Cricetulus griseus: one gene and its partner. The protein of the gene in region 2 purifies or fractionates together with the protein of the main gene of each other region. This does not show direct contact. Links are inferred from orthologs where the notes say so. Each region holds a gene or a part of one and is shown on either strand. Other genes may lie near its edges.

Region 1 (4,389 bases), on a different chromosome or scaffold from region 2:
CCCTGTTGGTCTAGCCCCACTTACCATTTTTGTGTTTTAAAGACTTGGATCTTCGAGGGGAATTAGGGTTCTGGAATGGGAGATACCATAGCTTTGGGGAAAGGGCAACGATAAGGGGGAGCCGAGAACCCAGGGAAGGAAAAAAGATTTGACAAAGAAACAAGCTCAAACTCATACTATTCCTCCCCGGTAAGGTCTGTCTGTCTGCCTATTATTTCCTCCCTCCCTCCCACCAGAGGGAGCTCCCCTGCCCACCAGACACCCTTATTCCCAAACCCAGAGAGCCCCCCCCCCCAGTGACATCACACTTGAGTCAAAAGACCTGAGCACTCCCTGCCCAAAAGGGAGGGTTATCTGTCCTTCACCCAAACTTCCCCCATGCTCGCCCCGGCTCTCACCTTGTCTGATTTTCTCTTCTTGGCTGGGGGACAACAGAACAAAGAACACAGTTACTTTTAAATTCTCAGTCTCAGCACTTACATGTTTTTAAAAACTACATTCTTCCCCCATCATCAAGACAGTTTATGGCAAATGTATGCTCTAACCCTGCTTTCCCACCTCACCCCAGGCTGCCCCAGTTCCCCAAACACCTTTCTTCTCTGAGCCATAGGACCAGTCATTGTCATTGATGTCATCGTTGTCTTCTTGGTCACTTTCAGACTTGTTCATATTGTTGCTATTGGCAATCCTACCCAGAATTGAGAAGAGAAAGGGTCGAGGTTATCACACATCTGCACATTATTTTTATAGTCAAGTATGTGAGGGTCAAGTACAGCCTACCCTCTGCACCCTGCCACCTGCCCCATGGGACTACACCATGGTAGATTGCACAAGATGTCTATCATTGGAACAGGCAGCAAAGAGGTTCTCACCGACGGTTGGCGATTCGGCTGCTGTTACGACCCATTCCCAGGCACTTCTCCAGGTGGGGGGCAAAGCGGGAAGCAGCAATACTGCGACTGCAATTGGGGCAAACACACTCCTTGCTCTTCCACTGGTTGAAAACCTGTCCAAAGATGTCCAACCCAGGCTGGTCCACGATCTCTGGGGACAGGAGAGGCGTGGCGATCAGAGGGGGCAGAGTACCCTCACCTTTTGTTCTCACCTATGGTCCCATACCCTCTTTAAACTCATCCCTGCCTAAGCTCACAGGAGCTCCAGGGTCTGCATCTAGGGCAGTTTCTAGAGAACCCTCTAAGTCCCCCCGGGCAGAGGGGCAGAGCTAGACCACTCTCCTTCCACCCTGAAGCTCACCAAAATCCTTCATGCTATCAGGATCCGTATCATCCAGGAAGAAGTAGCCACACTTGACAGCCCGGTGTACCTCAAAGCAGAATCCCAAACAAGAATCCTCCACCAGGTCCGCATATATCTCCTGAGCGATGGCCTGGGCCCCAGGAGAGAACATCCATGGTCACAAGGGTGGCAGCCCCCTGAACTGAACAACCCTCACAAACCAAATATCCCGACCAAACATGCTGCTTTCTGTGCCACTTTCCCCACCTTGATTTTCTACTTTTCTTCCTCCCAGATCCTTGGTCTTTTCAGCTGGCTGTTCCATCTAAGGAACAAGGCTGACTACCCAAATTCCTCTTTGGCACAGATGCCAGATACAGCGAGGCAGAGACATCAAGAGAAAGAACCAGAGGCACACGTGGGGAGCCCTCACCTCTAGTTTGCTGTTATCCAGGCCAGACAAAGACATTTCCTCCATTTTCATTTGTAAACTCTTGTGGAGACGGCGCTCTGACTGCTCATAGCACAGCGGGCGGCAACAGGGCTGCACACATGGAGGTGGGGGTGTTGGTGTGAGTCCAAGACACCTCCAAAGACTGCCACCTCCCCTTCCCCACCTCCGAGTCCAGGGCTTAATCCTGGCATCAGAGAGTCTCCCTCCCCAAGGCCCCGAATCACTAAGTCTGATGGTTTTCAGGGCCTGAAACCAAAGGTGGCCTAGTCCTTCCCAGGCCTAAGCTCAGGCCCTGAACTGTACTGCCAATCAGACTCTGAGTCTATAGGAGGCAGCAGCTCATCCCAGGTACCCAAAACTCAAACCCCTCTTTGATACCCATGGTGCAATGCAGCAGGGGGAGGAGAAGGAACTCTAAGGCCTCAAAGCAAACCCACAGGGTGTGGCAAAGAACTGCACAGACTCAAGACAACCCCCCTTTCCCTAAGGGCTCTCAGAGTCACCTCTGCTTTCAGCCAGGATGTCCACTTGGGGGGGTACTGCTACCAGAAGTAGGAATGGCCCTAAGACCCTACAACCTTCACCCCACTGCCTTCTCTTAAAATAAGCCTGCCGTTCTAGGAGAGGAAAGGAGCCCACAGAAGCCTACAGGCAAAGGGCATTTCCAGCCATCACGAACAGGAGCAGAGGAGAGCCCCGTGGCAAGCACTCGAGGAGTGGGCACTCCCCTTACCTGTTCTTTTAGATCGCACCCTCCTCCCTCCCTCAGGACCAGCCCGGAAGTCTCTCCAAGAGCCCCAAAGTCCAGAAATCCCCACCGTTGGGTTCAGAAACAGCGCCCACAGTTCGGGGCCCCACTGAATGGTGGGTACGAGTTTAAGGAGCTGCCGGCCTCGAGTGGGGTGGGGACTGACAAATGAGCCAGGGGCACTGGGAAGGGTAGCAGGCCGGGCCGCGGCTCTTCTCCCGTCCTTGCGGCACTGCTGCTGCATCATACCGACTGGGGGGAGGAGAGCCGAGCCGCCCAAGGCCAGCGGCGGGCCGGGACAGAGCGACCCCCAGAGAGTAGGCAGAGTGGGACGCGTCCCGACCCCTCTCGGTCGCCGCCAGCCCAGAGCCCGGACCGGCCGGGGAAAGGAGTCCGGGAGGGTATCTCTATTGTCCCGGGGGCTGGGGCCTGGCTCCCTAACAAAGGCCCCGCGCCCCCTCCCCGGCCGGCCCTGCCCCGCCCAAGGAGGACCCAGCCAGGGGGAGACCGGGGGGCCCCGGCCCGGCCGGGAAGCCGGGGAAAGCCGGGCGTTTCCGCGTCGGCCCGGGGGAGGGGAAGGGGCGCTGACCCAGACCTGGGGGGAGGGGGCCCAAGCCCCGCCTCGAGCCCCCCCCGCCCCCGCAGGCCCTCCCCGTCCCCGTTCCGTACTCACCCCGCCCGGGGGGCCGCGCCGGGGCCCGGCGGCCTCTCAGGGCCGCGTCCTCCGGCGGCGGCGGCGACGGCGGCTGCTCCGGAGCCCCATGTCCGTCGGTCCGTCCTCGCCTCTCCCCGGGGCCCGGGCCCGGGGCCGGGGGGTCGGGCTGCCCCCCCGCCTCGCCGCCTCACCGGGCGGCCATGGCCCCTTCCCCTCCCTTCTCGTCCCGTCGCCGCCTCCTCCTCCTCACCTCACCCCGCCCGCGCGCAGTCCGCGCGCCGTCCGCGCGCCCCTCCCCCGCCCCCCACTCCAGCCCGCCTCTCCCGGGCGGGGGGTGCGGCGCGAGCCCGGAGCGCGCGCGCGTGCCGCGACCGGAGGATGGATGGATGGAGCGAGCGAGGACGCGAGCGTGCGCGCGCGCGCCCCTCTCCCCCCTCCCTCGGCGCGGGCGCGAGGCCAGGCGCGAGCGCGCTCCAACCTCCTCCTCTTCCTCCTCCCGCCCCTCCTCAACACCCCGCCCTCGCCCTCCCTTCCTCTTCCTCCTTTCGCTTTCGCGCGCCCAGCGACAGCTCGCGCTTGCTAGAAGGGCCCGAGCGCGTGCATCTGCCCCGCGGCCGCAGCTCGGCAGCATTTGCTCCAGGGGGCGGGGACCGGGAGGGGAGGAGGGGCGCCACGCCGCCGTCCAAAGTACCGGCGGACGGGAACTGGGGCGGGGACGTGGGCGGGGCCACTGCGGGCAGTCCGGCCAATCGCCGAGCCTCCTCGGCCCAGGAGGCCCAATAGGCTTAGAGGTGGGTGGGGCAGCGTTCAAGGTGAGGTGCGCGGTGCGCCGGGGGCGGAGACTGTGTGCCGTCCCGGCCGGCTCGGGGGCGGAGGCAACGGGGTGGCGTCGAAAGAGAGCGCCGGCTCCCGGCCGAGCCTGGGACGCCTTCCGGCCCAGGCACCCCCCGCCCTTCCCGCGGGGCTCCCGGCTCTGCTCCCCGGCCGCTCCCCGCTTTGACCCCGCGGCATGCAGTCACTTGTGTGAGGAGGATGGGCCTGAAGTGGGATGCAGTCAGACGCTCAGGACGGACAGCCCTTAGGAGGGTCTGGTCTGAATCGTTCTCCGGGGTTCTGGGTGGGTCACTGCCCACCCTAGGTCTCCGAACCCAGGAAAGCTTAGGGGGCAGAGGGCCACCGCCGAGCGCGAGCTGCGCCCTTCTGAGCGGAGCGCGCTCTCACGCCCTCTTCCTAATTTAGATCCCACACCTGCTCGCCTTTCCTGCTTCCGGAGCCCACGCTGGACCCTCCACCTCT
Region 2 (3,803 bases):
CGTCTTCTCGCAGTGCCCAGTGCAGTGTCTTCACTGACAGATGACCTTCTCAAATACTACCAGCAAGTGACACGGGCTGTACTGGGGGATGATCCACAGCTGATGAAGGTGAAACAGGGGACCCGAGTAGGCATAAAGTCAAAGTCTTAAATCCCCATGAAATATTTTCAGGTGTCTACTTCCTGTCCTCTATAGATGAACTAGTTGCTATGGTGGAACCCATTCTCTAGTGGTGTGTGGTCCTACTATGCCAGCCCTGACCCCTTAACGCTCTAGTAGACTCTCTTGTTCCCTAGGCAGTGGCAGCACAGCAGGTGCTGTTAGTAACTGTTCCTACACCTTCATCCCAGATTCCCTTTTATTTTATTGTCTGTCTGTCTCTCTATTGTGGTTTTTCAAGACAGGGTTTCTCTGTAGCTTTGGAGCCTGTCCTGGAACTTGCTCTGTAACCAGGCTGACCTCGAACTCACAACAGAGATCCAACTGCCTCTGCCTCCCGAGTGCTGGGATTAAAGATATGCACTACCACCACCCAGCTAGATTCCCATTTTTTGAGGTATCTACTGATCTGGAGCCAAATGAGGCACTTATTTTATTTTATTTTGTGTGTGTGGTATTTTGAGACAGGGTTTCTCTGTGTAATAATAGCCTTGGCTGTCCTGGAACTCTCTTTGTAGACCAGGCTGGCCTCTACTTCGTGAATGCTGAACTAAAGATGTACACCACCATGAACATCAAAGCCTTTGTTTATTTGGACTGGGTAAGGAAAGGAGAAGAAGAAGTAGAGGTACAAGTCAGGTCTCCAGCCAGGCCTGCTCTGCAAAGGTTGTTCCTGGGCTGGTTCCTGCTGCTATTGCTTTAGCCTCTGGACACAACCAGAGATCTTTCCTCAAAGTCACGCTTGGGGTTTTTTGTTGTTGTTTTGTTTTGTTTTGTTTTGGTTGGTTTTTCGAGACAGGGTTTCTTTATGGCTTTGGAGGCTGTCCTGGAACTAGCTCTTGTAGACCAGGCTGGTCTTGACCTCAGAGATCCGTCTGCCTCTGCCTCCCGAGTACCGGGCTGTGCTTGTGTTTTTCTGTGTGACAGTTAAGATTCCCCCATGTTCTCATATCTGACTGCTATATCACTTAAAAAACGAGGACCATTGCCAGCACCATTTCTGTCCTCAGAACTTGACTGCTGAGCTAGCCATGCATTGACCAGCATGTGCAGAGGCCTGGATAGGAAGTTCTAACACTGTAAGACAGATTAAACACACACCAAGCAGGCATGGTGGCGTGGTTCTGTAATCTCAGCACTGGTAGAAAGATTGAAAGTTTAAGGCTGAGCTGTGGGCTACTTTATAAGACCCTGTCTCAGTAGAGAACAAAGGAAATAAAAACTTAGCCCTTGCTGTGTTTCTTAGTCCCCTATGGGTGGCAGCTGTGCACCTGGGAGCTAAGCTCTTCTTCACTTTGAGATCTTTAGAGGGTTTGGAGGGTTTAGATCATAGTGGTTTATGGATGAGGTGGATTTCTTTGATTGGTTTATGTTTTTGGAGACAGGGTCTCCCTATGCAGCCCTGGTTGGCCTGGAACACTCTATGTAGACTCAGCTGACCATGAACTCAAGAGATCTGCCTGCTTACTTCCCCAGAGCTCTAGGATTAAAGGTGTACACTGCCATGCCCAGCTATTTGCTTTTTGTTTGTCTGTTTTTACACAGGGTTTGTGTGGCCTTGGTTGTCCTGGAACTCACTCTGGAGACCAGGCTGGCCTAGAAATCAGATTTGCCTGCCTCTGCCTCTAGTGCTAGGATTAAAAGCATGTACCACCACTTCGCCACTTTATAATATTTTAAAGAATTTATTTTATTTCACTTTATTTATTTTGGGGTTTTCAAGACAGGGTTTCTCTATGTATCCTTGGCTGTTCTGGACTCCCTCTGTAGACCAGGCTGGCCTCAAACTCACAGAGATTTTCCTGCCTTTGCCATCTGAGTACATGGACTAAAGACATATGCCACCACTGCCCGACTGAATTATTTATTTCTTATGTGTCTGGTATTTTGCCTGCATTCATTTATGTAAGTGGGTCATTTTTGTTCAGTGCTTAAGGAGGTCAAAAGAGGGTGTGTATCCATTAAAGCTGGAGTTATAGACAGGTATCATATATTAGGTGTGTGCTAGGAACTGAACTCTGGTCTGCAAGAACAGCAAGTGCTCACTACTTAACCATACCAATATGTATTTATTATGGAGCTACATATAATATAAAAGCATATAGTCTTCTCATATACTTGTTTGTTCCTATTTACAAATTATGGTTACATTAATAAAAACATAAGTGGTATCTGGTTTTACAACTTACCTTAGCTCTTGTAGACCAGGCTGGTCTTTAACTCACAGAGATCCACCTGCCTCTGCCTCCCGAGTGCTGGGACTAAAGGTGTGTGCCAACACCACCCGGCAGGTCATGAACATTTAACATAACACATGGGTGCAGTGTTCACTCACCCTCCAGTTGGTTCTCTTTAATTGAAGTGCTTCTTTTCAGGTCGCCCTCCAGGACCTGCAGACAAACTCCAAGATTGCAGCACTTCTGCCTTACTTTGTTTATGTGGTCAGTGGGGTAAGTGACCAATTTCCTAGTGAAGGTGACCCTGCAGTGTTTAGGGCTCATAGCAGATGCTGTCAGAATGGCAGGCTCCTGTCTATGTCTTCCTGAGTCACCCACTTTTACCAACAGGTGAAATCTGTAAGCCATGACCTGGAACAGCTGCACCGACTACTGCAGGTGGCGCGGAGCCTGATACGGAACCCACACCTGTGCTTGGGGCCCTATGTCCGATCCCTGGTGGGCAGTGTGCTCTACTGTGTCTTGGAGCCACTGGCCGCCTCCATCAACCCTTTGAATGACCACTGGACTCTTCGGGATGGGGCTGCCCTTCTACTCAGCCACATCTTCTGGTACCCACTGGGCTCGAGTTGAACAGGGTGGGATAGCTTACAGAGTCAGTTGGGTTGTGGGAGGGGTACAGTCACAAATGCCAAGGTATCAGTCTTTTGTGCCTTGGATCCTGGGCCATTCAAACCTGGAAGCCTGTCCCAGAGTGCCCTACAAATGCTCAACTCTTTGTGTTTAGTATCTCATTCCCTTTCTTGACTCTTGCTCCCACAGGACTCATGGGGACCTTGTAAATGGCCTCTATCAGCAGATTCTGCTCTCCCTGCAGAAGGTCCTGACAGACCCTGTTCGGCCTCTCTGTTCTCACTATGGGGCTGTGGTAGGGCTGCACGCTCTAGGCTGGAAGGTGAGAACCCTGGCTTTTCTCATAGGTCTTTAAGAGTTGCCATGTGTGTTGGAAAAATCACATTCATGTGTATTTTATTGTAAAGCTGGTGTGTTTGATGCCATGTATTGAGACCTTGCCTTGGGCCAGGCTTATTGTATACCTTGACTGTGTATATGTAAATGTATCATCCCTTCAGAACCCCTGCTTGATACCTGTCTTTACAGTGTGCTCCACTGTTCTGTTTTTTATGAATTCCTGCCCATTCCATAATTCCATGTTAGGAAACACCCTCAATTTCTTTATCTCCTTTTCTCTTTTGGTTTTTTGCTTGAGACAGTGCTTGTTTTGTAGCCCATACTGGTCTTCGATTTGGGATCTTCTTGCCTAAGGCACCATAATTGGCTTCAGTTTCTATTTAGTGTTTTATAATCCAGTTTTCTTGGAATAATTCTGTTTATTTTATTTTGAATTTATATTGACTTTTTTGGGGGGATGGTTCAAGACAGGGTTTCTCTATGTAGCTTTGGAGC

What was found.
Region 1: the proteins of Taf6l (region 2) and Atxn7l3 purify together in Homo sapiens (affinity purification with mass spectrometry; 6 studies listed by BioGRID and IntAct, with this or other methods). This does not show direct contact. The link is inferred for Cricetulus griseus from reciprocal best matches to the Homo sapiens genes TAF6L and ATXN7L3.

The regions. Positions count from the first base shown.
Region 1 is NC_048600.1:115,805,475-115,809,863, reverse strand, and holds the start of Atxn7l3 (ataxin-7-like protein 3), read right to left. Parts: upstream 2,995-4,389; 5' UTR 2,686-2,994; coding exon 2,509-2,685; exon of another isoform or gene 2,194-2,508; intron 1,781-2,193; coding exon 1,670-1,780; intron 1,388-1,669; coding exon 1,255-1,387; intron 1,045-1,254; coding exon 873-1,044; intron 689-872; coding exon 591-688; intron 422-590; coding exon 399-421; intron 92-398; coding exon 25-91; intron 1-24. UniProt on the Homo sapiens protein: Component of the transcription regulatory histone acetylation (HAT) complex SAGA, a multiprotein complex that activates transcription by remodeling chromatin and mediating histone acetylation and deubiquitination.
Region 2 is NC_048596.1:51,313,297-51,317,099, forward strand, and holds part of Taf6l (TAF6-like RNA polymerase II p300/CBP-associated factor-associated factor 65 kDa subunit 6L), read left to right. Parts: intron 1-13; coding exon 14-108; intron 109-2,534; coding exon 2,535-2,609; intron 2,610-2,726; coding exon 2,727-2,947; intron 2,948-3,158; coding exon 3,159-3,291; intron 3,292-3,803. UniProt on the Homo sapiens protein: Functions as a component of the PCAF complex. The PCAF complex is capable of efficiently acetylating histones in a nucleosomal context. The PCAF complex could be considered as the human version of the yeast SAGA complex.